Regions from separate parts of the Mus musculus genome. Here regions 1, 3, 4, 5, 6 and 7 are each reported to be linked to region 2. Evidence: microRNA targets listed by miRTarBase, many of them from high-throughput screens and not tested one by one. Region 2 holds a microRNA gene; each other region holds the end of a gene's coding sequence.

Region 1 (4,179 bases), not on the chromosome of region 2:
CTGCTTGCTCATCACTGTGGTTGTATAAATTTTGAATGATTAACATTTTAGTTAGCATACAAATACTGGGACTCATTACATTTATACAAATCCTGTTACTGCTCTTTTTCATATCTGCCTCCTCTCTTATTCTCAATACCTTTTGAACTTTTAAGTACTAGTGCAGGGCTGGAAGATGACTCATCAGTTGAGAGCACTTGCTGTCCTCCCCAAGTGCCGGGCAGGGGCTGATTCCTGGCAGGCTCATAGCCATCTCTGCCTCCACTTCCCGGGAATCCAATGTCTTCTTCTGGCCGTCATGGGAACTGCACACATGTAGTATACATACTACAGGCAAAACACCCATACCAGTAAAAATTTAAAAAGCTTTAGAAATAGTAACATCATTTTACAAATTCTTGGAAAGTATTTATAAATGAAAACTCAAATGCATAATGAAAACTAAGAAAAAGGATCTCTTTCAATATTAAATGACTTTATGAAGTTAATTGCTAGATTTGGACTCTTAAAATTGATATAAATATGATTTATATGTTCAGGCAACTTGGGTTTTTTAATATTAATAACTACACTTCAAAAGAATATTTGACATTAATGACAAATTGCCAACAACTTTGAATATTTTAAATGTATTTGTGATTTCAAATCATTAATGCCGTAGTGAAATGATAAACCACATATACTTGTTTATGTAATAGTAGCACGTGGACACAGCATTCATAGAGTGTCATTCACTTTTACAGATATATAAACTGTCATCACAAGAAGAGAGGATTGGGACGTTATTGGATGCTATCATTTGTAGAATGTCAACGAAGGATGTTTTATAAGATGTTTAAAATGTCAACAGAAAGCCGGGCGTGGTGATGCATGCCTTTAATCCCAGCACTTGGGAGGCAGAGGCAGGCGGATTTCTGAGTTTGAGGCCAGCCTGGTCTACAGAGTGAGTTCCAGGACAGCCAGGGCTACACGGAGAAACCCTGTCTCGAAAAACCAAAAAAAAAAAAAAATTAACTCTAAGCCAGGTGTGGTGACTCATTACAGTCCACTGCTCAGGAGGCTGAGGCAGGAGAAAGCTGCAAGTTTGAGGTCAGCTTGGGATATGCCACAAATTCCAGATCAGCCTAAAGTACTATGTCAAATCCTATCTCAATAAATAGCAATTCATTTAACTCTCTTAGCTGCTTTTTAGGTAGATATGTCTTTGTGCCCACTTTATACAAGAGGCAGCTAAAAGAGTATAGCAGTATTAACTGACTAGCCCAGGGTCATGTAACTAGTATAAAACCATGTTTGATGGTTCCTTTTCCCCCTCACTTTATCTTGTATTGGATTGTATCCATCAAGATAGGCTTGGTCAAGGGTTAGCAAAGCTCTGTGAAGAGCCAGATAAGTACTTTGCTCCTCAAAGGCCGCCTCATCTGGTTCCTGCTACAATTACTCAATATGACCTTTGCAGTCTGAAAGCAGCCACAGAGGACAGGTACAGAGTGAGTGGCCTCTGTCCAGTGAGCCTTGACTTGAACAAGCAGTGGGCAGCCCTGGAGTTGAGACTGTAGACTCCAGAGTTGGCTAGGACATAGTGACAGTCAAACCCTAAAGCTCACTGGCTTAGTACAGCAGAAGGAAACATTTTGTTATCTTGAAGGCAGAAGGGATCAGAGGGAAACCCACAGCAGGGCTTTAGAGCCCTCTGCGGGGGCTTCTCAGCCTGGGCTTCTAGGTTACTGTGCAGCTTGTCAGAAGCTCTGGGGAGGGCAGAGAAACCTAAAAGCATCCACATGGAAGTGGCAGGTATTGCTCACCTCTTTTCATTCACACAAGTTCAAAAATGGTGACCCCTTGTTCTTCCCACAAGCACAGTCAGTTCTGCCCCTCCAGTCCCCTCTAAAGCGCCAAGTCTGCAAAGCCAGGTGCTCTCATAGTGCAGTTCTGGGGTTGTTCTCTGGGTACCTTATGGTGGTTTGAATATGTTTGGCCCAGGGAGTGGCACTATTTAGAGATGAGGCCTTTTTGGAGTTGGTAAGACCTTGGCAGAAATGTGTCATTGTGGGCATGGGCTTTAAGAGACCCTCCCTCCTTCTAGCCGTGTGGGAGCCAGTTTTCTCTTAGCGGCCTTCAGATGAAGATGTAGAACTCTCAGATCCTCCTGCACCATGCCTGCCTGGACACTGCCATGCTCCTGTCTTGATGATAACAGACTGAACCTCTGAACCTGTAAGCCAGCCCGATTAAATGTTGTTCTTATAAGAGTTGCCTTGGTTATTATGTCTGTTTGCAGCAGTCAAACCCTAACTAAGACATACCCCACACCCCAAATTCCTTTCTGAGTCACACCTCTTGAATGTTCAGACAAGCCTGCTCCATGGAGGTGAGGCAGAGGATGATACAGAACAAAGAATAAGTGACTCTTGCACACTTGCCCAAGATTGTCCAAAATGAAAGAAATCTTGATGCCTCTTCTCACTATTGTGTGTGTGTGTGTGTGTGTGTGTGTGTGTGTGTGTGTGTGTGTGTGTGTTTGTGTGTGTGTGCAAGTTCTCAGTGTCCCTGCCTCATATGGACTGTTACAGGGACCCCACATTGAGTGTGCAGCTGGGATGTTAGCTCAAGGGATGCAGATTTCTAGGATGGATACTGCTGGGCTTAGTGTGGAGAAGATCTCACAGAAGCCAGAGAAGGCTGACCTTGGTGATGACAGACAGAAACATATTACGGTGACCATCAAAGCCAGCCAGGGTCAAGGAGAGCCACATGGCAAGAAAGGGTGAGGGATATAGTCCTAGTAACCAAGTCACCTGTGTTAAGAGTGGCAGAGCAAGGGGTCTCTGTGTAGTTGGAATTGGTCAGTGGCAAGGTTTGGCTTGACTGACCCCTCTGGAGTTAAGCTGTATCAGAGGTGATGCCAGAATGAAACAGGACTCCCAGTAATTCCCAAGTGTCACAAATTACTGACTTAGGGGTGCCTGGATCTCTGTGATCAGTAGTCTCTAGCCTAGGGTGGGAGAGAGCAAAATACCCCACATCTCTAATAGTATCCCATTTTACAGAGGAACTAACTGAGAAGGAGGGACAGCCTTGCATATATATATATGCACAGCACCATATCCCATCCCAGCCTTGTGTCAGAGGTTTGCAAGATGACCCAATCACGCACAAAGCACCTGAATTTCTGGAGTTCCTGAGCCTTTGAACTCGGACTAGATTCAGCCTTGCTGGGGCCAACTCCAGTGGGGGTGCTCTTTCTTGTCAGCTCTTCTTGAGGCAGCAGAGGGGGAAGGGCATCGGTGGAGGGTAAGACTTTGTCTTACAAGATATTGAGGGTTGCTGTATAATAATAAAAAGTTTACTTATCTAAGTCAAAGTTACTATGCTACTGTAGCTGACCTGCCTTCTATGATCCTCTGAAGCCAGAAACTACAGTTTCTGGCACTTAGCACATCTTCCTCAAACAGCAAAGGATTAAGCCTTTGTACTATCTCAGCAGGAGCTGCTCAGCTCTAACTTTCATCCTGCTAGCAGTCCCACTATAAAAAACCTTAATAATCACAGATATAATTTTAAGGATTCTAATAGGATCATCATTAAGACAAGTCACGTATTTGTCTATGTAGCATCACTACAAGACAGTACATCTTCATGGATCTGCAGAGATCTGCTCCAAAGGGGTGTGCTATTACTTAGTGATATATATGTTGAATAATAACATATTAGGAAAAACATACTAATAGCAGGAATCTTTCCTAAAACAAATCCCTTACAGCCTTGCTTAATAAGGGCAAACCTGTCACAGATTATATAATAATCCAAAGCAGGCCATCTCAGGACAATCACCTGCTAGATATTAGCTTGACCCATTATGGCTCCTGGCACAGCCTGAATTCCAGGAGTGCCAGCTGTAGGGTGCTTCCATCCCCATGTCCTTTTAGAAATGCAGAGCTGTATGTCAGGCCTACTTAAGGTGATGCTGGCCTGTGAGCCCACAAGAACAGCTCTACAAGACTGGGCATCATGAGTCATCTTCCCCATAGAATCAGTCCTTACTTTAGTCTCACCGATTTCCTACTCCTCTGCCATGACAAAAACTACCTCTGCTGGTTCTCTTCTCAGTTCTACACCCAGCTCTGGTCTGTGACCCTTCAGATCTTGTAAGCACAATCTATGTTTGTCTCCAAGTCT
Region 2 (4,198 bases):
GCTGCCCTGCACGTGTGGGAGCACAGCCACCCCGCCCCCTTCACAGTGGCTTCCCATGGGCCCCTGGGAATTGTAGTATGGGCCCTGAGGCGTCATCCTTGGTTCTGTTTAGGAAGTGGTAATCTAAACCCCACTTTCTTAACTTTGCAGGCTATTGAGGGTACCTACATAGACAAGAAATGCCCCTTCACTGGTAACGTCTCCATCCGAGGTCGGATCCTGTCTGGTGAGTGGGATGTTGGAAGGGTGGTTCTAGGTTCCTGCGTCCAGGGGCGCTGGCAAGTGATGTCTGTTCTCACGATGGTCTTCAGATGTCCTCTAGGGCACTGCTGAGACAGCCAGTTGACAAAGCTGATGCCATAAATGGAGCTTCTTGGGAGCCCCGTTCAACTGACTCCTACCTGCTAACACCTTTCTGTTACTCTCCCAGGTGTCGTGACGAAGATGAAGATGCAGAGGACCATTGTCATCCGCCGGGACTATCTCCATTACATCCGAAAGTACAATCGCTTTGAGAAGCGTCACAAGAACATGTCTGTGCACCTGTCCCCCTGTTTCAGGTGACTCTGGTAGCTTGGGATAATGACTCTAGACAAGACAGTCACTGGCTAGGCTGGAGGTGTCCCATGGGCAGAGCAGTGTGGGGTCCAGGAGTGTGTAGACTGCTGTGTGAACGTCTGGGAACTAGAAGTTGTAGTTTGTTAGTCTTAGCAACTGCGTAGATGGTGACTGGTTGGGTGGAGCAAGGGTGGCCCCCACCCCTTTGGCCTGTCTGGATGAAGGAATTGCTGGGGAGGCCCCTCCTGAAGACTCCTTGTCTGACCCCACAGGGATGTACAGATCGGAGACATTGTCACAGTTGGAGAGTGCAGGCCCCTGAGCAAGACTGTGCGATTCAATGTGCTCAAGGTCACCAAGGCTGCTGGCACCAAGAAGCAGTTTCAGAAGTTCTAAGGGGACTCTGGCCAATGCCCTAGAACAAATAAAGTTATTTTCCAACGTACAGAACAGGCTTGGAGTCTCATGTGTCCTGGGACAGAGCAAAGATTGCCAGGGCTTTCCTGAGCTGGAGGTATCTGCTGCATTTATGAGCCTCTAAATCTTGGTAACCAAGTAGAACACCCAGGGTCAGCTACCTGGTGCAGGCAGCCCCTGCTCTGCCTGCCTCTCAGGAGGAAGTAAGGGTGGAGCCTCTGACCTTAGTTTAGGTCTGAGCTCTTCAGTGTCCCTGGGAACCACCTGGGTCTCTGGTCTTCCCATACTCACCTTGCAGGTGAAGACACCTAGGAAGGGGCAAGTTCTCCAACTTGAGTATCATGATCTGCTTGAACCCCTGTAGCCACTGCCTCCCCTCTGGCTTATGTCCAGGGACAGGGCCAACAAGGACAGGAACCCTTCAGCAGTGAGATGAGAAGAAGGCCCCAGGTTGTCCAGGATGGATGTTGGAGTGATGGGAACACCCACTTAGGAAGGGACCCAAGGCATCCCCTGTATGTAGGCCAAACCTGGGGAAAAGTCCCTTGGCTGGAGGGAGAAGCTGGAGTTGTTGCTGCTGGGGTTCCCAAGTCCCTATCCCCCAGGCCTGTACCAGGGTCTGAGGCACAGCACTGGTACAAGGGTTGGGAGACAGGGCATTGAGAAGAGTCCTCTGCCTGCAAGAGATGCTGCGGAAAGCACTGCTTCACCACGGCCTTCTGCATTTAACCAGGCTGCTGAGGGAGGGGGTTCCTGTCAAAGGAAGTGGGCCTGCATCAAAGCGAGCAGGAAGGGGCAGGGACAGGTCAGGAGGGGCACCGCCCAAGCTGGGTGCCTGCCAGCCACCCAGGAGTAGAGCCACTAAGCAGAGGAGGGGCGAGCCCCAGAGCTACAGGGGACAGGGACCCTGAGGAATCTAAAGCCAATTGTTGAGAGGTGTGGCCCCCTCCAGCCGCAGGTGCTTCCGTTCCGGGTGGGGCTGTGTTTACAACAGCCCAGCTCCCCTGTTTCCTCTCAGGGGTGCTTGGGGCTTCACCTTTCAAAGTTGCAGAGTCTGTGAGGGAGGGGACACCTGAGAGAAGAGAGACCCCTGACGACCCCTCAGCAGTTTAGTCATCTGCAGAGTGGAGGTTGTCTTCTTAGGCCTTTGCACAAATGAAGAACACTGCCTGAGAGCCTAGCACTTCCCCTACTGCACTCTGGTTTGTCAAACCCCAGTGCCAGCCACGCCTGGCACCTCTCCCGGTGGAAATGTCTTCCAGGCATCATGGTTTTATATGACTTTTACAGAGTCTTGCTGTGTGTCCCTAGATGGTCTGGAGCTCTGTGTAGACCAGGTTAGCCTCAGATTGACCACACTCTCCTCACCTCTTGGCTCCTGGGTGCTGAGATTCCAGGTGACACACAGCCCATTTGGGCCTTTAGTCTCAGGCACCAGTTTTCACTTAGTAACTAATATCCAGTTCCAATCACATGTAGACGTTGGTGATAATCCAGCTGCCAGGGGGGCTGAGCTGAGGCAGGAGGATTGTCAGAAGTCAGAGACTAGTTTGGGCAACACAGACCTTGTCTTAGACTAAAGACCTAGGGATGTGGCTCAAAGGTGTAGTGCCTTCCTAGAATCAGACAGCGAGGGGCTGGGGTTGTAGCTCCATGGTGGAGGGCTTTTCTAACAAGTACAAGGTCCTGCGACCATCCGCAGCACCTCAGGGACACAAAGGGCATGCAGTTGCAATCCAGCACTTGACAGGTAGACACTTGAGGATCAGCAGTTTAAGGGCACAAGAGACCTGTTTCAAACGAAGCCTGGTATGGTGATACCCATCTTTGGGGTTTTTGGTTGTTTGTTTTGCAAGACAGGGTTTCTCTGTGTAACACCCCTGACTGTCCTGGACTTGCTTTTTAGACCAGGCTAGTCTCAAAACTGTGCCCACTAAATGCTGGGTTTAAAGGTGTGTGTCACCACACCCAGCAGTGGTACACGTCTTTGATCCCAGAACTCAAGAGGCAGGCAGATCTCAGAGTTTGAAGTCAGGCTGTCTGCATAGTGATAACCTCTTCCAAAAATGAAAATACTAATGTGAGTGAGTGTGTGTGTGCCTGCCACAGACCCCCATGTAGAGGTCAAAGGATTCAGTTCTCTCCATCATGTGGGTTCCACAAGTCAAACAGACCATGATGCTTTGTCTTAAATACCTCTACCTACTGAACCAGCTCACTAGCCCACACTTCCTCCTTGAGTCTCCTGTCAAACTTACATCCTGCCTGTTGGCTGCAAAGGCTGTATATATCTGCACAGCCAGTCCCTGGAAGTGGGAACTGTGAGGAGGTGCCCCAGGATCCAGGTGTTCTGAGACAGGCTCAGCACTGACCAGCCTCACTGCTCACTCAGCCATAGACCTTGAGTCTCCTCATCTGTAAATGGTGGCCACGCTAGCAGCTAGCTGTGCAGGTAGGTCACTCTATGGCCCCAGGAGAATGACCTTTGGCAGGTAGCTGCAGAGGTTATGTATGGTTATGGGACCTGTGTCTTCTAGAGCAAGCTTGATGAAGTCATTTAAGTATGCTTCTAGAAGATTCTGTAGCGAATCATGCCTGGTGAGAAGACCAGAGAGGAGCCATTGGCTCTGGGCGGGTGAGGCTTCTCAGCAGGGTCTTGGGTGTTTGTTTTGGAGTCAGGGTTCTGTGTAGCTCTGGCTGTTGTGGAACTTGCTTTGTAGAACTGGCTGGCCTCAAACTCACAAAGAACTTCCTGCTTCTCCCTCCCAAATGCTGGGATCAAAAATGTGCATCAGCACCACCCAGGACAGGGTCCTGGTTTAGTGACAGCAGACTTTGGCCCACCAACTGCAGACAGGGCAGGCAGGCCTGGCCCTGCTAACTGTGGCTTGGTCTGGCTGTGTGTGGAACTTTCTTTGGGTGGGGAAGGCAGAATGGTCAGGCAGCATTGCTGCTCCTCCTTTTTGGGTTCTTTGTGTTATGTCTTGTTTTGAGACACTTGCTGTCTCACTCTGTTGCTGAGACTACCCAAGAATTCACTGTTTAGCCCAAGCTAGCCTCAAATCCATAGCTATCCTGCCAGAGCCTCCAAAGTGGTGGGATTGCAGGTGAGTGTGCTACCCTGGCTCCCGGTGGGCTGTGATAATGGGAGAGCCTGTTGACAGTGTGTGTGCACAACCCAGGGTTTGTTCTGAGACAGGGTCTCCTCATAGCCCTGGCTGAC
Region 3 (4,177 bases), not on the chromosome of region 2:
CCAACCATCTGTAATGGGATCTGATGCCCTCTTCTGGTGTGTGTCTGAAGACAGCTGCAGTGTACTCATAAATAAAAAATAAATCTTAAAAAAAAAAAAAAACCCAAAAAACAAAATTCTAACAATTGAAGTCAGCCTACTTCTAAGAACTCAGTGCCATTACACATTGGTCATGTGTCGTCCTTATGAATGATAAGCTGTATGCTATATTGATAAGACAGGAGAGTGCCAATGAGCCACTGTGTTAATTCTCTGAGAATACAGGTATATAGTAAACCTAAGTTTTCTGTGAGTAAGAGTTTAGGACAGTTTTTCAAGCACAGTAGATTCCCAAACAAAATAATGTAGAACCCAATTATTAATTCTAAACTTAATACTTGATGTTTTACTAAACTAACGAATGCAGCCAAGGGTCAGTGTGTACTTCAGTAATGCTTCAACGCTTCATCAGGAAACAGGAGTTCTGGGTGTACTCACATGCTAGTAAGCATGAGTTCACCTGGATGATTTACGCAGCTCTCATCCAGGGCCTATTCTTTGGCTTTCAAAATATTTTAACAATAGGAAGCTGGAAGAGATATCCCTAGAAATGAATTGGTTTCAGCTTACTTCTGAATTTGACTAACATGATGTCATCTAAGACTATGTAGCTGTAAAAAGTCTGTTAAGGACCGTTTTCCTGGACAGCGAGTGTGTACTCCGACATGTCCTTTATTTAGCAATCTTCAGTGGTTAAAATGAATATGTAAGTGTAACGGAAGACAGATGGTGCCCCTGCCCACCTAAAAAAGACAACTTAAACTCAACAGATGAAGCATGGTAAAATCAAAGGGATTGTCTAAATCAGTGTTCAGAAAGGCATCAGAATTTTATGTGCATTAATTCTAGATTCTCAGAAGGCAAGTGCTTAAACTGGCTGGTACTAGTTCTAGGTCAATGCCATAAATACAGCAGCCATTAGCTACTTCATCAACCCACATGTACTTCATGGGTTTGAAAGCCACACCAGGGTAATGGACAAGTATGTCTAAAAGATCCATTACAGGAAGGACTATGGGGTAGAGCTTTTCTAAGCATTCTGAATGCAGGTGGAACTGAGAAGAAATTCATCTGATTTTCCTTTATGGTATCACTGAACTAGCCACCTACAAAGCAACTAAGAGCAAGCAGATCAGCTAGAGTGGTCCCACTTCCTGACTTGTAAAATCAGTGTACAGAGACTGTCCCCTTTCTGCATCTCACAGGTTTACCTTCTCCATCACTGGGTATCTTACTTGAGTCTAGCCTTAGAACACAGGAGGTTCCATCTGTGTAACACAGGCCTTAGATGATGTATTAGGTATAGATACAGAAATAACAACTCTAAGTTTGGTCATCAGTAGGGACCCTTTACTTGGGCTCCCAGAAAAGGTTGCCTGTCAGGAAATAAGTCATCATGGCTTCACCACTTCTGGGTTACAGAATCTGAGTTTATAAACTATAGGACTCACACAACCTGCTGCACTAACGAGGCCCCTTTGAATTTATATTGAAAGCCCAATGTTATAAAATCTTAAGCCAAATGTCTATATATTCATCTCAACGGCTTATTATGACTTTTTTTTTCTATCATTTCCAGAATATAAGAAAACAAGTCCAGGGCTTTATTTTTATTTTTTGTTTTTTTGAGACAGGGTTTCTCTGTGTAGCCCAGGCTGTCCTGGAACTCACTCTATAGACCAGGCTGGCCTTGAACTCAGAAATCCACCTGCCTCTGCCTCCCAAGTGCTGGGATTAAAGGTGTATGCCAACACCACCCGGCAATTCCAGGGCTTTATTTCTTTACACATTAGTTAAAATGTGCCCTGGAAAGTTGTTACAAAAACTTGGGACTCATCAAGTGTTATTACAAAGCTATCTCTGAAGGACCTACAAAGTAAAAAGCTTATCAGGGCTGGAGAGGACTCAAGAGCACTGGCTGTTCTTCCAGAGGACTCAGCCTGGACTGCGCCCACTGCAGATCCCGCTGTAACACCAGTCCCAAGGAATCCAACACCCTGGGTTGGCCTTCAAGTGTAGTGCACAGATATACATGCAGAGAAAACACCCATACATACAAAATAGGTCCAAAACAACAAAAAAAAAATTCCTACCCATCAGCCCAAAACTCCAAATTACAGAAAACTTTCCAAACTTGTTTCCAGATTGTCCTCAATTTCTTGTATAAAGTAAGATTTGTCACAAAGTGCTGCCTCTGACCTGAGGCCCAGTTAATCATCTTCTACACGTCTGAAGTCACGATGAGGTCTTTCTCCAGCCTTTTCACCCCCACAAAGACACCACTATCACTCATTTCCCTGCCATTCTCTATAAAATTTAGGACCACTCAGCTAATACATAATTATTCACCTTTATAGATCTCATTCTGGCCAAAGAACGAAGGGTAAAGCGTGGCTGTAGTCGGAGTTGCCCGAGATATCAAGGTAAGAGCACCTAGTACCTTCACTAGACCATGGCTTTATACCAGGGAACATTTAAACAACTAAAGATATGTTAACTGTCATTAAACAAAGCACAATCAAAGGATCACGATCTGTGGTTGTTTTAATTATCTTCTTTCTGCTGATACAAACTATTTCCTTTATTTCCATCTTTCCATCTAGTAAGTTAGCAAAGAGTGCCATTCCTAATCGAATTCCAGTTATGTGTGTTTCTGAGTGGGTATTTAAGGACAATTCTGATTTACAACTTAGTCTTAGAAAATAGAGAATTTAAAAGGCCTAACTTGCTTGTTTCTAAAAGCATTTTAATTTGCAGATCAACTATAAAGAAGTGTTAAATACTCTTTATTTGATATCATACATAAACCACAGTAAATGCCTTTCAATAGTAAAAGGCAACATCCTTGATGTAGGGAATTCTAATTAAAACTGCACTGTCAAGAATAGACAGTTGCCTCCTGGTGGTTAGCCATGACCTGAAAGAGGCCAGTGAACACAAACTGAAACACATTTGAGTCTTCTTGTTTCTGAGACAGTGATAGAATTTTCCCAGTGTTTAAGCATATTCATATGCCCAGTTATATAAATCTAAGTATAAAACCATTTAGTAGGTTTGAGGTGACATGCCCCTATTTATGGAAAGTAAAACATTGCTAATTAAGTCCAATCTTATCTTGAGAAAGGGAGAGCCGTGGTAGCATGTATACAACTGGAACTGTTGCTTTAATAAAGACCGTACCCACTTTATGACAAGTCAGTTTTACTTAAATCAGGACTGTCCAACAAAAACATTGCTAGCCATTCATGATCTGAATTTGGTGTGTGAATTAAATTATGGTGTACATTAAAAGCCATGAGACATTTGTTTTGTAATAAATAAGGCAGTGGAATTACTCATTAGTAGCCTTTTTAAGATAAGCTATTAGGTCTGCCCTTTCTCCCTTCTTCTTAATTCCAGCGAAGATCATTTTTGTTCCAGGGATGTACTTTTTGGGATTCTCCAAATACTCCATCAGGGTATCCTCTCCCCAGGTGATGCCTAAACAGAAAGAGATGCAGAGGTTAAGTGTTTTACACACCTGGTAATTCTGCACTGGTTAACCCAAGCAACCTGTGCTGTGGCTGACAGCAGCTCCCCCCGTTACCTTTGTTCTTGTTGGCATCTGTGTAAGAGAATCCAGCAGCCTGGCCTGTCTTCCGCCCGAACAGACCGTGGAGATTTGGTCCAGTCTTATGCTTGCCTCCCTTTTCCACAGTGTGGCACTGGGCACACTTCTGAACAAAAATCTTCTTGCCTTTTTCAACATCACCCATTTTTAATTCTAAAAGGGAAAAGATCCAACAGTAAAACGTACTACGGATCCCAATGACCATTCAAACCGCTATTCTTATGTCCTCTTAACACCAGGCAGGGTGCTAACTCAGTCCACTTGCAATATTCTTCAATAGCAAATACATCACCTAGGAGACTCTCCTTTAAAGCAAGTCTGTGCTCAAGACAGGTCCATGCCAAGGGAAATGGAAACCCACAGCTCAAACCCCAGTTTCCGAAGAAGGCAAGGTCAAAAAGTCACAAATATGAAACCGGACTCATTAAAGCAAAACCACTACAACTCTTAACATTTCAGAATGCTAAACTGCTGTCAGTGCTGCCGATTAAAGTCACTTCCAAAGATAAGGGAGGCTGGGGGTGATCC
Region 4 (4,159 bases), not on the chromosome of region 2:
GATACCATGAATGTATTACTGATACCTAAAAATAATCATCTTTTAAACACATTTCAATTGATGATTTCTGCATGAACAAAAACATTTTAATGCAGAAATCATTTCTCTAATACTGCAATGGATGCTAGCTGAAAGCTTGATTTTATCGCACATATTTGGTTTAGGTTTATATGACCAGATGTCATGCAGAAAAATAAGCTGAGTATAAAGTTCATGAAAGTAGGCAGGATGTTATTTTGTACTATAAAAATTTGATGTGCGGTGACATTTCACAGCTACATTTCACGAAGACATTTCATATCTTCAGGATATCTTATTCAAGTATTACATAAAAATCACTAATTAATCACACATGCAAGCTAAGAACTATGGTAAAATAGCTCTGTTGATATATGATCATCCCCTTGACCACCTACATAAGCAGTCTTCATATTATTTTTTAAAACATTAAACAACAAATCTTAAATACAGATGTATATTTGTTTATGTCACAAGCATTCACATAATTGGCACATCATCAGAATTTTATTATTTTAAATATGGGAAAGTCAGGGGAGAACTGGGGCTAGAGGTACCCTGTAAACCAGTTTCTAGATAAAAACTTCTCTCTTTTACCTTTCAAATTCACGGTGCCAAAGCACTGACTAGTTGTGCGGATCTGTAAACATTCTTGTTTGTTTGCACGGTTTCCTGAGGTAATCTGTTAGTACAGTGGCCTCACAATTTAAAATTTCTACAAATGTGCTTTGGAAAACTTCAAAGTAAGAACAAAAATTTAAGTGTAGATCTGGGTGATTTTTCTATATTACATAAGCTTGATAAGAAATTCCTAGATATCAAATCAAACCATTTTCCTACATTTTCAGGTGACAAGAAAAACACTCAAACTTTAGGTCATTAAAAAAAAATACATTCCAGAATCTCCTCAGAACTAGGTAATAAATGAACATTTTATTTGTACATCACTACTAGAATAATGTATAAAATCATATAGATTTTAGGGTGTTTTTTTTTTCCCCAAGGTTTTTCAGGCAAGGTTTCTCTGTGTTGTCTTGGCTTTCCTGGAACCTGCTCTGTGGACCAGGGTGTCCTTGAACTCAAATCCACCTGCCTCTGCCTCCCAAGTGCTGAATCTAAAGGCATGGGCCACCATCACTCAGCAGGTTTTTCTGTTTTAAAGGCTCATAAAATACTATCATATGCCCGGTATTGGAACCTGCTTAGATTGTACATGTCTTAATAGTATCTTTTCCAGGAGAGAGGGGGGAAAAAGGCTGACCGCTTGCATTTGTTTGGGGGTGTGGGTGCAACTGCTATGACAGGCTAGCTTGAACAAATAAATTATTTTTCTCATTCATTGCTCTGGTGCTAGACTCTTCCGTGTCAATAGATTAATAACACTGAATGTCTGATGAAACAGAAGACACTGGAAAGTTCTTTTTAGAGGACACAACTGGGCTCTACAGATAAAATATATTTCTTCACCTTCAATTAAAAAAATTCAAATACCATTGAAAATTTCTCCACAATCTTAAAATGTCTCCATTAGACAATCAGTTTCACCCAGCCACATATCAAGAGGCAACACTGGGGACTTTATGTTACACATGTTAAGAAGGTTCCATCCTGGCTAAAGGTCTGGACAGTTTACAGCCTCTCTCCCTCACATTTGCCCATAGAATCAAACACAGGCACTGATGACTAAGACATTGAACCTGTTCCCTTACATCTTGATTCAATACTATGTATCAGTGAGCCACTTCATTGATTATTGAAAATCTTGGTAGTAATATTTTTCATGCTAAGTTTTCACAGTTCAATCCTTTGAATGCTAGAAGAAACTATTCTGTGTTACTGCTTATTTAAGGGGAACAGAAGTGGCAAGTCTGTGTCCCATGAAAGTAGCCAAGCCCACCTGAATATTTTCTTTGTTTTGCTAGGGATGGAACCAGGCAAGTGCTTTGCCATTGAACTACAACCCTAACTATCCACCTGAAGTTTTAAATAAATGCTTATGAAGACAAAACTATGCTTAACATGTATTAATGTATAGAAGTAAAAAAGTATTATATATTCATTGTTGGTTATAAGAATATGATCTCTACCATTTATAAATATAATTTGGTGGTTTACAGTTCAAAGATATCCTTAAACTTTAAAGTATTCTATATTCCTATATAGACTATAACTTCTATTTACCAGTTTTATGTGTTGTAAATTATCTTTCAAAGACTGCAAATGATTAGTTTATGAAATGTTTCAATACCTTCAAATATTCAAAGCAATAAGCGAATCAATTCATTACTTGTAAACTCACACTACCAAAATTACAATGGCTCCTTTTTATACTACTGACTCACATAAAATATGAAAAATTAATTATGTTACATTAGGCACTAGTTCAGACTGTTCTAGAAACTTTTCCTATAGACTAACACACACACCACTGCAGAGCCCTGAGATGATTTAAAGTGGGGTGGTGCAAGGATGTATGATTTTCCTTTCATAGTTATAAACTCACATCAATGTTTACTAGAAAAATAACTAGCACATAAAAATGTGAAGTATGATTCAAAACAGCCAAGCTTAAAAAAGGCTTCAACAAAAAGTAAGCAAATTGTAGCATAAGATATATTGGATCCACTCAGGAAGGTTGTATTACATTAGGAAATAGTATACTAAAGATCCAATTTAGCATCATCTTTGAATGCATGTAAGGATGAGTCATATCATAGAGGGGGTTGCTTTACTATCAACTCTGTGTGTGTGTGTGTAGGGGCAATTTCCATGGACATGAAAATTAACATAAAACATGTTTTTACATTTAAAAATATAGATTTGAGCCAGGCAGTGGTGGCGCACGCCTTTAATGCCAGCACTTGGGAGGCAGAGGTAGGTGGATTTCTGAGTTCGAGGCCAGCCTGGTCTACAAAGTGATACAAAGTGAGTTCCAGGACAGCCAGGGCTACACAGAGAAACCCTGTCTCACAAAAGCAAAAAAAAAGAAAAAAAAAGAATATAGATTTGAAAGCATTAATTAACTTTTTGTTTAATATTTCAAGACAAGGTTTTATTGAATAGCCCTAGTTGGCCTCAAACAGAGATCTGTCTGCCTCTGCCTCCCAAGTGCTGGAATTAAAGGCATGCACAACTGCCTGTCAAATTAATTAATTTTTTTTTAAAGGATTCACCACATGTTGAAAGAGTTAAATAACGCTGGAAGGATGCACTATTCCTAAAGACTAAGAAGGCACATTACATATTATGGTTACGACTTCAGCATTAAAATAAAAATGAACTAAATAACAATGAACAGATATTATAATATTCTTTCATAAAAAAGAAGATAAGCTTGTGCACTCAGGGCTCTTGACTCTGGAACCACCTGCACATAGGTGTCGCTGACATGGACCCAGTGGCCTCCCAATTCACCATCAGGTTCTTTCAAACCTAGCAGAACAGAAAGTACAATTTTACAGTTAGTGTGTTTATGTCTTCTAAATTGTAAACACTGACACAGTTATTATGAGCTGTATTTAATTCTAAGATCTATAAGATCTAAGATTGATAACTACTTCCAGTTAATAAATTTTTAACTTAAAAATCTAGTGAAATATTAGCCTTATAATAATTAGTTTCCCAGAGAAATATTCATTTTCACCAAAAAAGAAGGTGGAGAAACTGGTGAGATGGTGCAGGGAGGAAAGGGGCTTGCTGTGCTAGCCTGGGCAGCAGCTCCATCCCCAGAGCCCACACAGAGGTGGAAGGAGAGAACTGAGTACATGAGATTGTTCTCTGACAGCCAAACATAGGCACACATACATACAACACACACACAAATAATAAATATATGTTAAAAGCTAATAACAGAGATGGACATGGTGGTACACACCTTTAATCCTAACATAAGGGAGGTAAAAGCAGGTAGTTTTTGTGATTTTTTGGCCAGCCTAATCTATATAGTAAGTTTCAAGTTAGACAGAGCTACATAGTGAGCTCCTATGTCAAAATAAAACAACAACCTAACAACACCACAACTAATAAAGGGGAGGTAAAAGAGATGGCTCATCAGTTAAGACCACATACTGTTCTTTTTTTTTTTTTTTTCCTGGCTCAACGATGGCTTTATTTAAATTAAAAATTTCTTTTTTTTTCTTTT
Region 5 (4,198 bases), not on the chromosome of region 2:
GCCCTGTCCTCACCTGACCAGGTGGCTGCCACCCTTACCCTACCCTTCGATGTGGTGAAGACACAGCGACAGATGTCACTGGGAGCGGTGGAGGCTGTGAGAGGTAAGCTGGGCTGGTGAGGGGAGAGGGCAGGCAGGGGCCTGAGCTGAGCCCTACTGAGCCGGGCCTTGCATCTGCAGTGAAGCCGCCCAGAGTGGACTCCACCTGGCTCCTGCTTCGCAGAATCCGGGCTGAATCTGGCACCAGGGGACTCTTTGCAGGTCTGTCTCTGTGAATGCACTGCATATATGATACATATCCATGCTGTGTGTGTGAGGGGACCTGGACCCCTCACTGTGGTCTGTCTTTCCATCACAGGCTTCCTCCCCAGGATCATCAAGGCTGCACCCTCCTGTGCCATCATGATCAGCACTTACGAGTTTGGCAAAAGCTTCTTCCAGAGGCTCAACCAGGAGCAGCCTCTGGGCCGCTGAAAGTCGGGGAGCAACCGGCTCTTGCACGGGTGGGATCAGGAGACTGAGCCAAGTGCCTTCCCTCCCAGTCCAGTCACCCAGGCTGTCCTCAGACCTGGATTCCTGCTGTTTCCCTTCCCAGGATTGCCCCTCTCCCGCCTCCCGAATTCAAGACCAAATCTGATGATCGCCCTTTTTTGTATCCCCATGTTTGTTATAGCTTGGCCCGAGGAGCTTGGGCCAGGCAGTATCTTGGCCCCATTCATTCCTTGTCTAAAGATGATGGTCTTCTGTGCACAGCTGTGGCTGTAGTGTCTTGGGGTACGTGTGCACGTTTGGGGGTCCCCAGTCAGACACAGTGGCCCACACCTGTTATTCCTTCACTTGGGAGGCTGAGGCAGGAGGAGTGCCTCCAATACCAAGCCAGCCAGGACTACACAGCCAAATTCTATCTTCACAAAAAAAAAAAAAACCAACAGCAACAAAAAGCTGGCATCTACAGGTATGGTGGCCCCGAGAGTTCATGGCGAGCAGATCTGAAGCCTGCCTGGCCTACATACTGAGCTCCAGGCCATCCAGAGACCTTGTCTTAAAAGCTTCCCACCTTAGGGGGTACCCAGACAGATCTGGGTGAAAGGTGCCTGTCTGGTAGGTAGTAAGGGCCTTTCATGTGGGGCCCACTGTGTTGGGGTGAGAGCAAGTCTTAGAAGGGTCAGATCCAGAAAGCACCTGCAGATGTACAGAATCCGGAGCCCCCTCCCACTCAGCCCACACCCTGAATGATGGCCCCATGTGGTCCCCCAGGGCACATCCTCCTGGCATGTGTACCTTGGTTAACAGACCTGTTAGGGAGCCCTTACCCCACTCTCCAACAGATGAAACCACTTCAGTCCTCTGGTTTTTATTTGCCTAATCTCTCCCCACATAGGTACCAAGGAAGGGTGACTTCAGAGGGTACACAGGGTTAGACCAGAGGCAGGGCAGCAGGAATGCCAGGGCTGGACCACCTGCTCCTGAGGCAGGTGTGGAAGAAATCAGAAGGAACCAGGCAGCCTTCAGAGCCACCAGAATGGAGCGCTGTCCCCAGGGGACTGAGGATCTGTAATCTGGGTGTCCCTCGTGGCCCCACCACTTCCCATGCAGCTCCTGCCTCCTTGGCAGGAAGCTGAAGCAGGAAAGAGGCTTGGGTCATCTTTCCCTAGAGACCCGAGGCTAGGTTGGTGGTGTTCTTGAAGGGTGGCCTGGGTTGGGGGACTCATAAGGTGGCAGTTGTCCATGGCCCCTGGCAGGTGGGGCTGGTGTTGCCCTTGGTGCTCCTCAGCTGGGGCTGAGCGCCGGGCTGCCCTCAGGGCTGTCGCTCACCAGGCATTCGTTGGATTTGAAGCTTGCCAGGGACTTGCAGCTGGGGATGGAGGCCAGGGAGCCGCAGAGGCCCAGCATGGAGGGCGTGGGGTCCTTCCCTAGGGAGAGAGGGCGGGTAAGGCCGGGCCAACCAGCCTGTGTTGTATGTGGGGAGGAGGTCCTCGTGGGTGGGCAGAAGGGGGGCAGTTCTCCAGTCACCCCCAGGGGACGTGGCCTCTTCTGGAGCATCTGTCATTTTTAATTAAACCTTGATTGAACATTCCTTGCACAGGGCTTGAGACACTGTGTCATAAACCATCAGTTTATGTCTCTGTCTCCCCAAGGTTCAGCCTTTCTTTGTCCATTTATTAAGCACACAGTGAGCATTTGCTCTATTTCACACTCTGGGGATACAGAGAATGGACAAGACATGGTCCCTGCCCTCACGGAGCTCACAGTCTGGTGGGGAGACACACACAGTCACAAACACAGTGTGGTGAGTTACATGTCCAAAGCCTGCCTCGTCTCAAAGTCGAGTTATCCAATACAATATAATATATATCTATGTATTTAAAAAAAAAAAAGGCAGGAGGTCCAGGCATAGGGGAAGAAACTAGGAAGGGAGTAACCAAGGAGGGGTCAACACAAAATGCATGCGTTGAAGTCCTGGGCATTCGCTCAGAGGGAGCCACTAATTTGGTTCTGAGCTTCCTGGCAGCCAAAGAAAGGGGAAAACATTGGTCAGGCAAGCCGTTCACAGTGTGTGTGTGGGCAGAGCCAGCAACATGTGTCTAGTGTCATGACACTAGAAAGCCGTTGCGCCCTCTCCATACGTGCACTCTGGAGGCTCTTTACCAACATCCCTATTTTACAGATGGGAATCTGAGTCAGCCAAGTGCAGAGATTGACCTCGTTTACAGGTAGAAGAGGTGGGGCCCGAATTTGCACTTTTGTTTTGAAACCTCAAGCCAAGCTCCTTATTGGTGTATAAGTACAGGAAGAGTTGAGAGAATAAGGGGTTCAGCCACGGCCTGACTACAGGGGCCCTATCCCTTTTCTGAAGTGCCAAGGTGGGTGAGTGTGTGTGGGGTGTGCTCACCGATGGGGCCCCAGGGTTCCTCGTCCCTCTTGGCCTCTCCCAGGCGCTGGGAGTCTGAGCTCAGGCTGGCCTCTGCAGACAGCGGCTCCGTGCTCATGAAGCTGTGTCTACAGCAGAACAGAAAAGTGCAGGGAGTGACCCGCAGCTCCAGGCCCCACTTCCTGGGACTGGGGTATGGGGACAGCACTTGGTTGAGGCTTACCTCCGATATAGCTTGGAGTTGCTGGCACCCTCGGGCCTATGAAGTGTGCTCAGGGAGGGCCACTGGTTGACTAGGGATGTGGTGAGCTCCTTGGAACCCTGGGCCAGGGGGGCATGGTCACCGGGGATCAGACCTGTCCTGGGAGGGGGAGGGGGATCAGGCCTGGCTGGGAGAGGGAAGCGAGACTCAGCAAAGGTAGGGGCAGGGCTTAGGACGGAAACTTGAGTGGTAAAAATGGGGATCTGTGCTGCTCAGGGAGGATGGCCCAAGTCTGGAATTATGGCACTAGGATCTAAGGCCATGTTTGTGGTGGCCAGGATTAGTGCACTCATGATGGAGTTTTTAGAAGTCAGTTGGGGTGATGTAGGGAGGAGAATGGAAAGGGTGGGTACTCTTGAAGGGGTGGGATTCGTGTTAGCTAGCTGGGTCAGGTTCAGGGAGGAAATGTTCCAGATTGGGGGTGGGGGTGTGTGTGTGATGCCTATCAGAGGCCTTAATAATGGGGGTGGCACACGATAAAACTGAAGGCTGCTAAAGTCGTGTGAGGAATGGCTGGTGTCTCTAGCTGATGGGTATTGGAAGCTGCGGGGGATCTTAATGTGGGGGGCAGGTAATGTTTGGCAACCTCCACGGGATCTTGGGAAAGGGGATGGGATGGGTAGGCTGATGCGAATTGGGTGTCATCAGAAAAGCGATCCCAGCCAATGGAGTCATGTTGGGGTTCCCAGGGGTCAGGGCGGGAGGCGGGCTCACAGCTGCTCCTGCAGCTCCAGGATCACGCCTTCCAGCTCCCGCTTCTCACGCTGATTTTGTGCCGCGGCCTCCTCCAGCTGCAGCTGCAGCCGCCGGTTCTCCGCCTCCAAGTCCTTCAGCTGCGACTCGCGCAGCCGCACCAGCTCCTCCAGGTATCCCTGCGGGGCGCCGGCTCAGCCCGGACGCCCAAAGGGGTCCCAGCTGGAGTCCCAGCCCCAGGCCCTGCCCCCACCGCGCCCAGCTCCCCGCGCCTCGCCCCGCGCACCTTCTGTGCGTAGACAATGCGAAACTTCTGTTCCATCTTGTGCCACTTGTTGTACCAACTGTCTTCATCGGTGACGAGAGGCAGG
Region 6 (4,198 bases), not on the chromosome of region 2:
TGTCTGACCTAGAAGGAAGTGGGAAGAAGCAGCGTTACTTTCAGTGTTAGTAAAGGCGAAACTGTTTTCATTTATCACATCGGCAGGTATCCTTTATATTTGAAACTAAACAAAAATTCAAGTCATTTTGCCCTACAACATAGCATATAAAAATATAATACTCTTTCTGGAAGGTGAATGGGGAGCTAAAACTCAAGTCTCTTGATAGTTCCTGGATAATAGAAGCACTTTCAAATAATACTCTTCACACCCGCAGTCATACGGGAATGAGAGTTCTGCTTACTCACATTCACACAGAATTACACTCATTGCCTCTACGTATCCTCAGCTTGGTAATTCTCATGCATTGCTTTGCTGCAGAGCGCCCACCAATTGGTATAGCCCAACAGTGGATCCAGAGTAAGAGGGAAGCCATTGTGAGCCAGATGACTGAAGCCTGCCTTAACCAATCGCTGGACGCCCTTCTGTCTCGTGACCTGATCATGAAGGAGGACTATGAACTCATTAGCACCAAACCTACAAGGACCTCAAAAGTCAGACAGCTGCTAGATACGTCTGACATCCAAGGAGAAGAGTTTGCCAAAGTTGTAGTGCAGAAGTTGAAAGATAACAAGCAGCTGGGGCTGCAGCCTTACCCAGAAGTACCTGTGCTTTCCAAAGCACCGCCTTCAAATTTCCCTCAGAATAAAAGCTTGTAAGGGGGCCTTCTTTGGGAGGAAGTCAGTTTACAAATGGTTATTTATATTTCTGTTACCTGTATAATATTTGTATAGAAAACATGAGAGTATTAGACGCTTCACTGAAGGTTGATGGAAGAGTCTCTTCCCATGACGTTGCAGTATTTTTTTAAATTAATATAAGTAAAAAGTTTGCTTTATGCTGTGTAGTTCAGTTTTTACGTCAGTTTCACTACTTGAACTTTTTATGTGATAATTACATTTTTCTAGTATGTAACAGTGCCTTAAAGTGGCCTTTGTTTCTGATGGAAGACACTTTCACACTCACCTTCTCTGCGGATTCCTCATTATTCGTCTAGAGTGCAGTTTGACTTTACATAGCAGTGATTCAGGCTCCCCATTTGCCAATCCCAAGTTCAGATCTCCAAAGAGTTACTCGGTTTTAAGTTTGACTTACAAATTCTTTAGCAGGTGGTCTCAAGGAATGTAGAGTATATAAAGAAGCGGGGGAGAAAAAATTAACACTGGCCAGCCGTGGACCTCTGCTTAACTTTTGCCTCCTGTCTGTCTCCAGAGCGAGCAGCCCATTGTGCATCCTGCTGCAGCCTGCTTCCGGCTCCTGTTTTAAGCATATGCGGGTTGGGTAGAAGCCGACCTTTACTTAGCTATTTTCTTTGTAAAACACCATGGTTTTTGAACTGAAGGCAGGTACACTCCTCCACACAGCTAACTCCGTTCAATCACCGCATGTCGGCCACGCCTCTCTGTGTTTGATTTTCCAAGATTGCTCTTATCAACTTGACGAGAAACAATAAAAAGGCAATACAGTGTGCATTCTTTTTATCTTCTGGTAATTAGCGTATGTCAGTAAAGGGAAACTATACAAAGTGATACCTTTTTCTGAAAACTGTTTAACAGTTAGAAGAAAGTGAGAAACAGAATGAATTTGAAAACTCAAACTTGCAAGACGCACCAGACTCATAACCTAAAACAATCTGAATTAGGACTTAGATCATATGGAGACAATGAAATATTCCTTAATTTGAAATAAGAATGTAAACAGCAGGACTGGAGAGATGTCTGAGCACAGCATTTAAGAGCTGGCTGCTCAGGGAGAGGACCAGGGTCTGCTCCTAGCACCCACATGATGCCTCACAACCAGCAATAACCCCAGTTCCAGGGAAACTAGACTCTCTTCTGGTCTCTAAGACCACCAGGCAGGTGTACAGTGCACTTACATGCAGGCAAAACAATCATTCATATATATATATGTATATATACATATATATATATATATATACATATGTATATATATGAATCTATATGGGAAGATGTTTAAAGAATTTAAATGCAATTTTAAAATGACATTAACTTTTGATGTGACTCTTATGGGACTTTCAGAAACAGAAATTTAAAAGGAAAAAAAGAAAAATCAATTAAACTTATTAGTTGTGATTAAATTCTTTTAAAAGTATGAAATAAAAATTCGGGTGTGGTGGCACACCTGTTATCCCAGAACTTTGGAAATGGAAGCATCAGATCAAGAGTTAGAAACATCCTTAGCTACTTAACAAGCTCAAAGCAAGCCTGGGCTATTGGGGACAGGTCTCCAATAGACAAACAACAAAAAGATTGAACTTGGGAATTAAAAAAAAAAAAAAAGGAAGGGTTTTTTAATTACTCTCTTTTAGTCTCTGTCTGTCTCTGTCTCTCTCTCCTTCCCTCTCCCCTTCACTCCCTCCTCTTTTCTATACTGATTGTGTATGATATATGTAGATTGATACATGAAGTTTTCTCTGCTCTTCCCTTTTGCTGCAAAGTGTACAATTCATAATGTGTGACCCACTGTCTTGGTTACATGCTTATAACCCACCCGTTGTTCTCCTGTGACTTACTGTAAGGAATACCTATGTATAGTCACCCATCGTCACAGCCCCACAACTTTCTACATGAATAGAACACACTGAACAATAAGAAGATGGTATCACCGGGCAGTTGTGGCACATGCTTTTGATCCTAATATTAGGAAGGTAGAGGCAGGCAGATCTCTTGAGTTTTAAGGTCAACCTGGTTTACAGAGTGATTTCCAGGACAGCCAGGGCTACAGAAAAACTCTGTCTTGGAACATGGTGCCCCCCCCCCCAAAATAAAGCAAATCCCTATGGTGTTAACAATTAAGATGAATCTTCAATAAGCTGTCCTCCTTTAGTGGTATTACTGGTTTCAGCGGACAATTTTCACTGTGACCTATACTGAATGTTTGCATGTCCTTGTTTTGAGGGAAGTGACACCCTGTGCTAAGTATGACCAGTCAGCACACAACAAGGCCTGGCATAGAGTGGGCACTTTCTAAATAACTCTAGTGAATAGTGAAATGAAAGCTGCAGAACAGGGCAAGATGCTCGCTTTAAGTCCTGCTTCCCAAGATGTATGCAAATACAGACAATAATAAGTAGAATTATTTTTATGTAGAACAGAGATTCAGAACATTGTATCATTTGAGCTACATAATAATAGTTTTTGTTTTGTTTTGAACCTTCTCATTAAGGAAAGGAGAAAGGCTTAATTTTGTGCAAATTGCATGCCTTCTTAATTTTGAACACTTACTGGAAGCCTCTATTGGCCACACTATGCCAAGGTTGAGCTTGGTTCCCTTGTAATCCCTATTGAGCTCCCTCCAGATAGTCAGAGAGTAAAAAAAGGAAGTCCAAAGTGCTAAAACAGGGAACTTCAAACCCTCACAGTTGGTGGCCACCAAGGTGTGGATGTGGTTTTATATTGGAGAGATTATAGACAAATGTAGTATCACTGGCTATAATGTTTAAAGACAAATTAACATCTGGTTTTATTTGGGTTCTTACTTGAATGTTCTTAAATTACATGTAATGAGACAGCTATCTGAATTAAGTAAACTAAACTAAACAATACAACCCAAGACAAGCCCAGCCTTAAACAAGTCACTTTTACCATGCTCTCTAAGGCTTTGGAAACATTTTAAAACAGGGACTAAAGAAATATGTAGGAGCTAGACTATAGGAAAAGGGATACAGAGCTTCATTCCCTAAACTGGGTATATCCATTTTAATTAGTAACACATCAACTGTAGGTCCCTGAGCTATACAAGTAGCTCTATCAACAATGAGTCAAGGAGTACAGAGTGCTCATGGGTCCTGCCTTTCCCTCTCCACTACTGGCCATCAATAAATTCTAGGAAGTGGCTGTTTTCCCCCAGTTGAGCATACTTGGCTGTGATGGACAGCTCCAAACCCACAGTCACACAAATGGCTCTGGTTAATATTGGTGAGATATTAAATAAAATAAATAGACATAAACATGAGAAAGAGTTCTATGAAGATGAGGGAAGGTGAATAGACGTAGTAGAAAGGTGAAAAGGTCAGTATGCAAGGAAGGTCAGTGTGCATATATGAAATTGTTAGAAATAAAAGTTATCTTTATAAGCTCATACTAATAAGCATATGAATATTCTTTAGAAAGCTTAAAATATTAGGAAACATATCTAG
Region 7 (4,198 bases), not on the chromosome of region 2:
ACCTATTAAGTTCAATGTGTTGTGTGATAGAATGCAATGGAGCTTTCAAAATAATAAAGCTCATTGTACTTACTGTGACTCCTGAGTTTACTACACAGAGAGGTAAATAATTTTGACCTAGTTTTAACTGTGATATGACAAGCATCATCATCACCACCAACACCATCAAGTTTCACCATCACTGAATGATTCCGCCCTGGCCTCTCTCTAAGTGCATCATCCTGGTATGACAGGATGACCAGAGACATTCCATTTACAACCCCCCACCCCCGCCCCAAGGTCTCAAAGCTGGTAATACTCAAAACTGGAAATCAAACAAGAAGTTTAGATTCAGGACTGGGGACACAATGCATACGTATGCCTAGCATGACTCTCAGCCCCACAAAGATCAATTGATGACTCTCTTGATTGATTAACCTTGCTGTATCATATAGTCTCTCTATTGGAGCAGGACCGTGCTGACACAACGATGGAGCCAGTCAGTGTTGATTAGTCTCCCCAAAGAATACAGTTTGTCTTCCTAGGCCCAGATGATAAGTTCTTATGGAACTGGGTCTGCCAGCAGGGGAAATGAATAGAAGATGAGAATGGGTGTTGCCAACACACTGGCCTGGACTCTCCATCCCATTCTGCTTCTGCACATCCCCACCTTCTACTAAGAGACAAAGAGCAGTGAATTTCGTTTGTCCAATAATCTTGAAAGCATTATTTGAAGAGAAATATAATGTTTAATTTTAGGCATGGAAAGATCAAATAAATTATATAATACCAAAGGATGGAATTTGTTCCACCACGGAAAAAGCAGCACAGGGTAGAACAATTATAGCATATTCAAGTGCTAAACAACTTTCAAGCAGATATATTGTTTGAAGATACTTTATTAAAATAAAAAACTTTCCATTACATTTATCTATAAATCCATCATAGGCCACAGGGAAATAAATGAAAATCTGAATCTTCAGGGACATTTTTGATTCCATAGTTTTGTAAATCTGAGTTTACATGTTTGCTCACTTTAAATTACTACAGTTTAGGTACACTTGATGATTATATAGTACCAGGAATGTCAGCCTTATAGATGCCAAGTTTCCACATTACTCAGTAAAGCCATGGTTATTGTTTCAAGTTTATCTCTTTACTTTTAGGCCATTCTACCTGGGAGATAGAGGAGAAAAAAAGCACCTCATACCAGGTTCAACTTTAAATGGATAAACAATGAAACCCTGCTTTTCTAATAGTGGCTGGCACTGCACCCCAGAAACAAGCTGCTGAAAGCTAGGAGCAAAGTATTTTTCTCCTTGGTGGTGGGAGTGCTGAGGTCAGAGAGCACAGCAAGGCCAAATGCTGTTGGTATCTTGGCCTGGCTTTTATGTTTAAATTAAATCTCTTTATAAGCATCAAGAAATAGAACAGGTAAGGCTACATGCCACCTGATTTCTTAAACTGCTTTATTTCTGTTTATTTATTTTTTAAAGAAAGATGCTCAGCTGTGGTCTAACAGGTGCAGACATTTATATTTTCATGACATTCCATCACCTTCACTACCTACCCCAAATTTCCCAAGCACTAACCCAAAATAAAAACTGAAGAGAGCAGTCACCAGATGAAGAAAAACAATCAGCAAAGATACCTGAGGTATGAACATGGGATACCTAAACTATTTCAGAATGTCCTATGCTGGACACACTTCTCACCATTCTTGGTCTAGAAAGTTCCTTTAGAGAAGTGTACACATCGAGCAAGGGACAGGACATTCCATCCAAACCAACTTTTTAAGACTTGTGCTTCTAGACAGTCCACACAAAGCAGTGATATCAGAGTAGAAATTCAGTAGCCTTTCTCTCTGTGTTTGAGCTGCATGGCTTTAATTAATAAGCACAGAACTTCCATGAACTGTGTTCATTAGTCCAATCATCTGACTGTTGGGCTTGAACATGTAATGAGGTCACTAGAAAAGTTTTTGTTTCTGCTTCACACAGAAATTTGACATTGTCTTAAGGAAAGCTAGCCACGGACACCACCAAACAGCAGTGAACATGTAATATGTGTGTGGACCTATCTGCCAAAAGGTCCAATATTTACATGGAATGTTGATCTTGCTTATAAAACTATATATATATATATATATATATTTGTTTATTTGTTTTTGTTTTTGTTTTTTTCGAGACAGGGTTTCTCTGTGTAGCTCTGGCTGTCCTGGAACTCATTCTGTAGACCAGGCTGGCCTCGAACTCAGAAATCCACCTGTCTCTGCCTCCCAAGTGCTGGGATTAAAGGCGTGTGCCACCACGCCCGGCCCATAAAACTATTTTAAATTATATCTTTACATACAATTTATCTTATGAATAGCCTCATTTGATAATTTAAAAACATGCCTTTCAAATATCTCACAAATATATAAAATTTCCCTACATTTTATTTTTTCTTTAAACATAATATTTAAACTCTTTACAAAGCAACAAGAATAATTTTTTGTATGCAAGTCATAGATGTGATGAATCTTCCATTGACTAATCTGTACTGCTCAGAGTACTGGCAGGAACCTGCTCTAAGATTGAACTATGGATATTTGTAGTATTGCAAATCATTCACTTGCTAGAGACCTAAGGCATTATAGAAAAAGGAACAATGTCATTGAAACATTTAAAAACCCACCTTCCTTTGGAATAGGTTGAAATGCAATCTGGCTGGTGTTAATCATTTTGTTGACAAAAATTTAACACAATATAAGGTTTCTAAAACACACTTTAGGACAATTTACATGTGTGGTGATTGCACACCAGAAACATGAGCACCTCTTCCTTCACTGTGCTCTAACACGTGTTACATGTTTTTGAATACTTATCTCATTGTTATAATTTGTTGAGAAATTCCAAAGCAAGAGAAGAAAACTTTCTGACTCCAGAAATGTCTTCTGAAGAATGATAGATTAAAGCAAGTGGTGCTGTGTAATCATTTCTTGCCCTAAGACAGAGCCATTTTTACTAAACCATGAGGAAAAGTTTGTATCTACATCTGTAGTATCAGTTAAGTCGTTTTTAAGCCTGATGCAGCGGCATGTTCCCGTACTCAGGAGGCTGAGGCAAACAAAGGCTGAGTTCAAGGCTAGTGTTGACAACATAGTGAGACTCTCATCTTAAACAGGAGAATTAGATTTTTCTTATATAATATTGGTGGCATCACTAATATGTACTCATAAGGATTTCCTAAGCTATAATATGTGAGTTACTTCCTCAAGAAAAGATTTGAGTTTCTTCTTTGTTTTAAAGATGTGCACATGAAGAACATATTTTTTAAAGGAGAGTCTTATTTCCAGCTCAGTTAAATCTGTGGATTTGCTCAAGGCTGCCAAGCCCATGCTTTCAACTGTAAGCATGCCCAGTGAAGGGCTGTGAGCACACCTGAGCCCAAGTGAGGCATGAACTTTGATACCTACTGCCTCTCACAAAGAAACAGATTAAAGAAAACCAGTAAATACAAGTTTTGCTAAGACTATAGCATTGTGCAGATTTTGACTTAGATTGTACACTTATGTGCTTCAAATAAGGCTGTGAAAGACATAAACAAACCAGCACTGAAATTTTGACTTTGACATTGAAGACTTTACATCTGTGACAGTGATACTAATTATTAAAAAAAAAATCCTACCAAAACCATGGTAGTTGATCTAACCATGCAACTCTGTAAAAAGACAATTAAGGACATTTCTCTGAGTTATGAATGTAACCAACTCACTGGGACCCAATGGGTATCAGTCTCTAGTTTGTCAAATGTTGTTTTTAGCTCATTAAATGCCACAGTAAGATCATCATTGATTATGATTTTGTCAAAAAGATGGCCATATTGACTTTCCATTATCTGTGCTGATTTAATCATTTCCTGAAAGTCTTCTTCCTATTAAAAACAAGTAATAACAAATTAAGTAACCAGACAACTGCATTATTTCACATAAATGTAAACATTCTACAATGACTACCTAAAGCTGTTATGTGTTCAAACTTTAAACAAAATAAAGAAACAAAATCACCTTCACTACCTTTTTAGAGGTTTTTACTGCTAACATCAGCTTTAGCTGAACTCCCTTCAGGGTCATAACTAACTCACGATTGCATGGACACATTGCTGTTGTCATGGATAGCAGGGGTGCTGTTTACTCTGATGCTCTGGCTTGGCTATTTATGTTTGGTCACAAGAAATA

The links. The annotated mature microRNA mmu-miR-150-5p reads UCUCCCAACCCUUGUACCAGUG and lies in region 2 at 1,606-1,627, opposite strand. An mRNA with a match to its seed (bases 2 to 7 or 8) in the 3' UTR can be bound and repressed. Matches are read on the target gene's strand: a 7mer-m8 pairs with bases 2 to 8, a 7mer-A1 pairs with bases 2 to 7 and ends in A, and an 8mer does both.
Region 1: the mRNA of Tprkb is a reported target of mmu-miR-150-5p. Seed matches in the 3' UTR shown: 7mer-m8 at 890-896.
Region 3: miRTarBase lists Cycs as a target of mmu-miR-150-5p. Seed matches in the 3' UTR shown: 7mer-m8 at 1,758-1,764.
Region 4: miRTarBase lists Usp45 as a target of mmu-miR-150-5p. Seed matches in the 3' UTR shown: 7mer-m8 at 3,120-3,126 and 7mer-m8 at 1,118-1,124.
Region 5: miRTarBase lists Slc25a39 as a target of mmu-miR-150-5p. Seed matches in the 3' UTR shown: 7mer-m8 at 838-844.
Region 6: miRTarBase lists Ripk2 as a target of mmu-miR-150-5p. Seed matches in the 3' UTR shown: 7mer-m8 at 710-716.
Region 7: miRTarBase lists Mpp7 as a target of mmu-miR-150-5p. Seed matches in the 3' UTR shown: 7mer-m8 at 2,255-2,261.

The regions. Positions count from the first base shown.
Region 1 is chr6:85,928,033-85,932,211 of GRCm38, forward strand. Tprkb (Tp53rk binding protein) reads left to right here. Exons shown (of 6, transcript NM_176842.3): 6 at 744-2,252. The coding sequence ends at 830. Among named protein-coding and RNA genes, the nearest start is that of Tprkb, 14 kb to the left of the region's middle.
Region 2 is chr7:45,119,191-45,123,388 of GRCm38, reverse strand. Mir150 (microRNA 150) reads right to left here and starts at 1,632; the gene lies at 1,568-1,632. Rps11 (ribosomal protein S11) reads left to right here. Exons shown (of 5, transcript NM_013725.4): 3 at 151-226; 4 at 431-560; 5 at 831-1,001. The coding sequence ends at 954. It overlaps Snord35b (small nucleolar RNA, C/D box 35B), which reads left to right and starts at 278; the gene lies at 278-364.
Region 3 is chr6:50,561,867-50,566,043 of GRCm38, forward strand. Cycs (cytochrome c, somatic) reads right to left here. Exons shown (of 3, transcript NM_007808.5): 2 at 3,626-3,802; 3 at 697-3,519. The coding sequence starts at 3,794. The coding sequence ends at 3,371. Among named protein-coding and RNA genes, the nearest start is that of Cycs, 2.6 kb to the right of the region's middle.
Region 4 is chr4:21,833,526-21,837,684 of GRCm38, reverse strand. It overlaps Usp45 (ubiquitin specific petidase 45), which reads right to left. Exons shown (of 18, transcript NM_152825.2): 18 at 1-3,450. The coding sequence ends at 3,320. Among named protein-coding and RNA genes, the nearest start is that of Pnisr, 12 kb to the left of the region's middle.
Region 5 is chr11:102,399,696-102,403,893 of GRCm38, reverse strand. Slc25a39 (solute carrier family 25, member 39) reads left to right here. Exons shown (of 12, transcript NM_026542.3): 10 at 22-103; 11 at 181-261; 12 at 359-925. The coding sequence ends at 474. Rundc3a (RUN domain containing 3A) reads right to left here. Exons shown (of 11, transcript NM_016759.5): 7 at 4,114-4,198; 8 at 3,849-4,006; 9 at 3,096-3,233; 10 at 2,894-3,000; 11 at 1,339-1,913. The coding sequence ends at 1,771. Among named protein-coding and RNA genes, the nearest start is that of Mir6930, 3.2 kb to the left of the region's middle.
Region 6 is chr4:16,120,054-16,124,251 of GRCm38, reverse strand. Ripk2 (receptor (TNFRSF)-interacting serine-threonine kinase 2) reads left to right here. Exons shown (of 11, transcript NM_138952.4): 11 at 361-1,511. The coding sequence ends at 698. Among named protein-coding and RNA genes, the nearest start is that of Ripk2, 41 kb to the left of the region's middle.
Region 7 is chr18:7,347,251-7,351,448 of GRCm38, forward strand. Mpp7 (membrane protein, palmitoylated 7 (MAGUK p55 subfamily member 7)) reads right to left here. Exons shown (of 17, transcript NM_001081287.2): 17 at 712-3,894. The coding sequence ends at 3,715. Among named protein-coding and RNA genes, the nearest start is that of Gm34979, 2.6 kb to the left of the region's middle.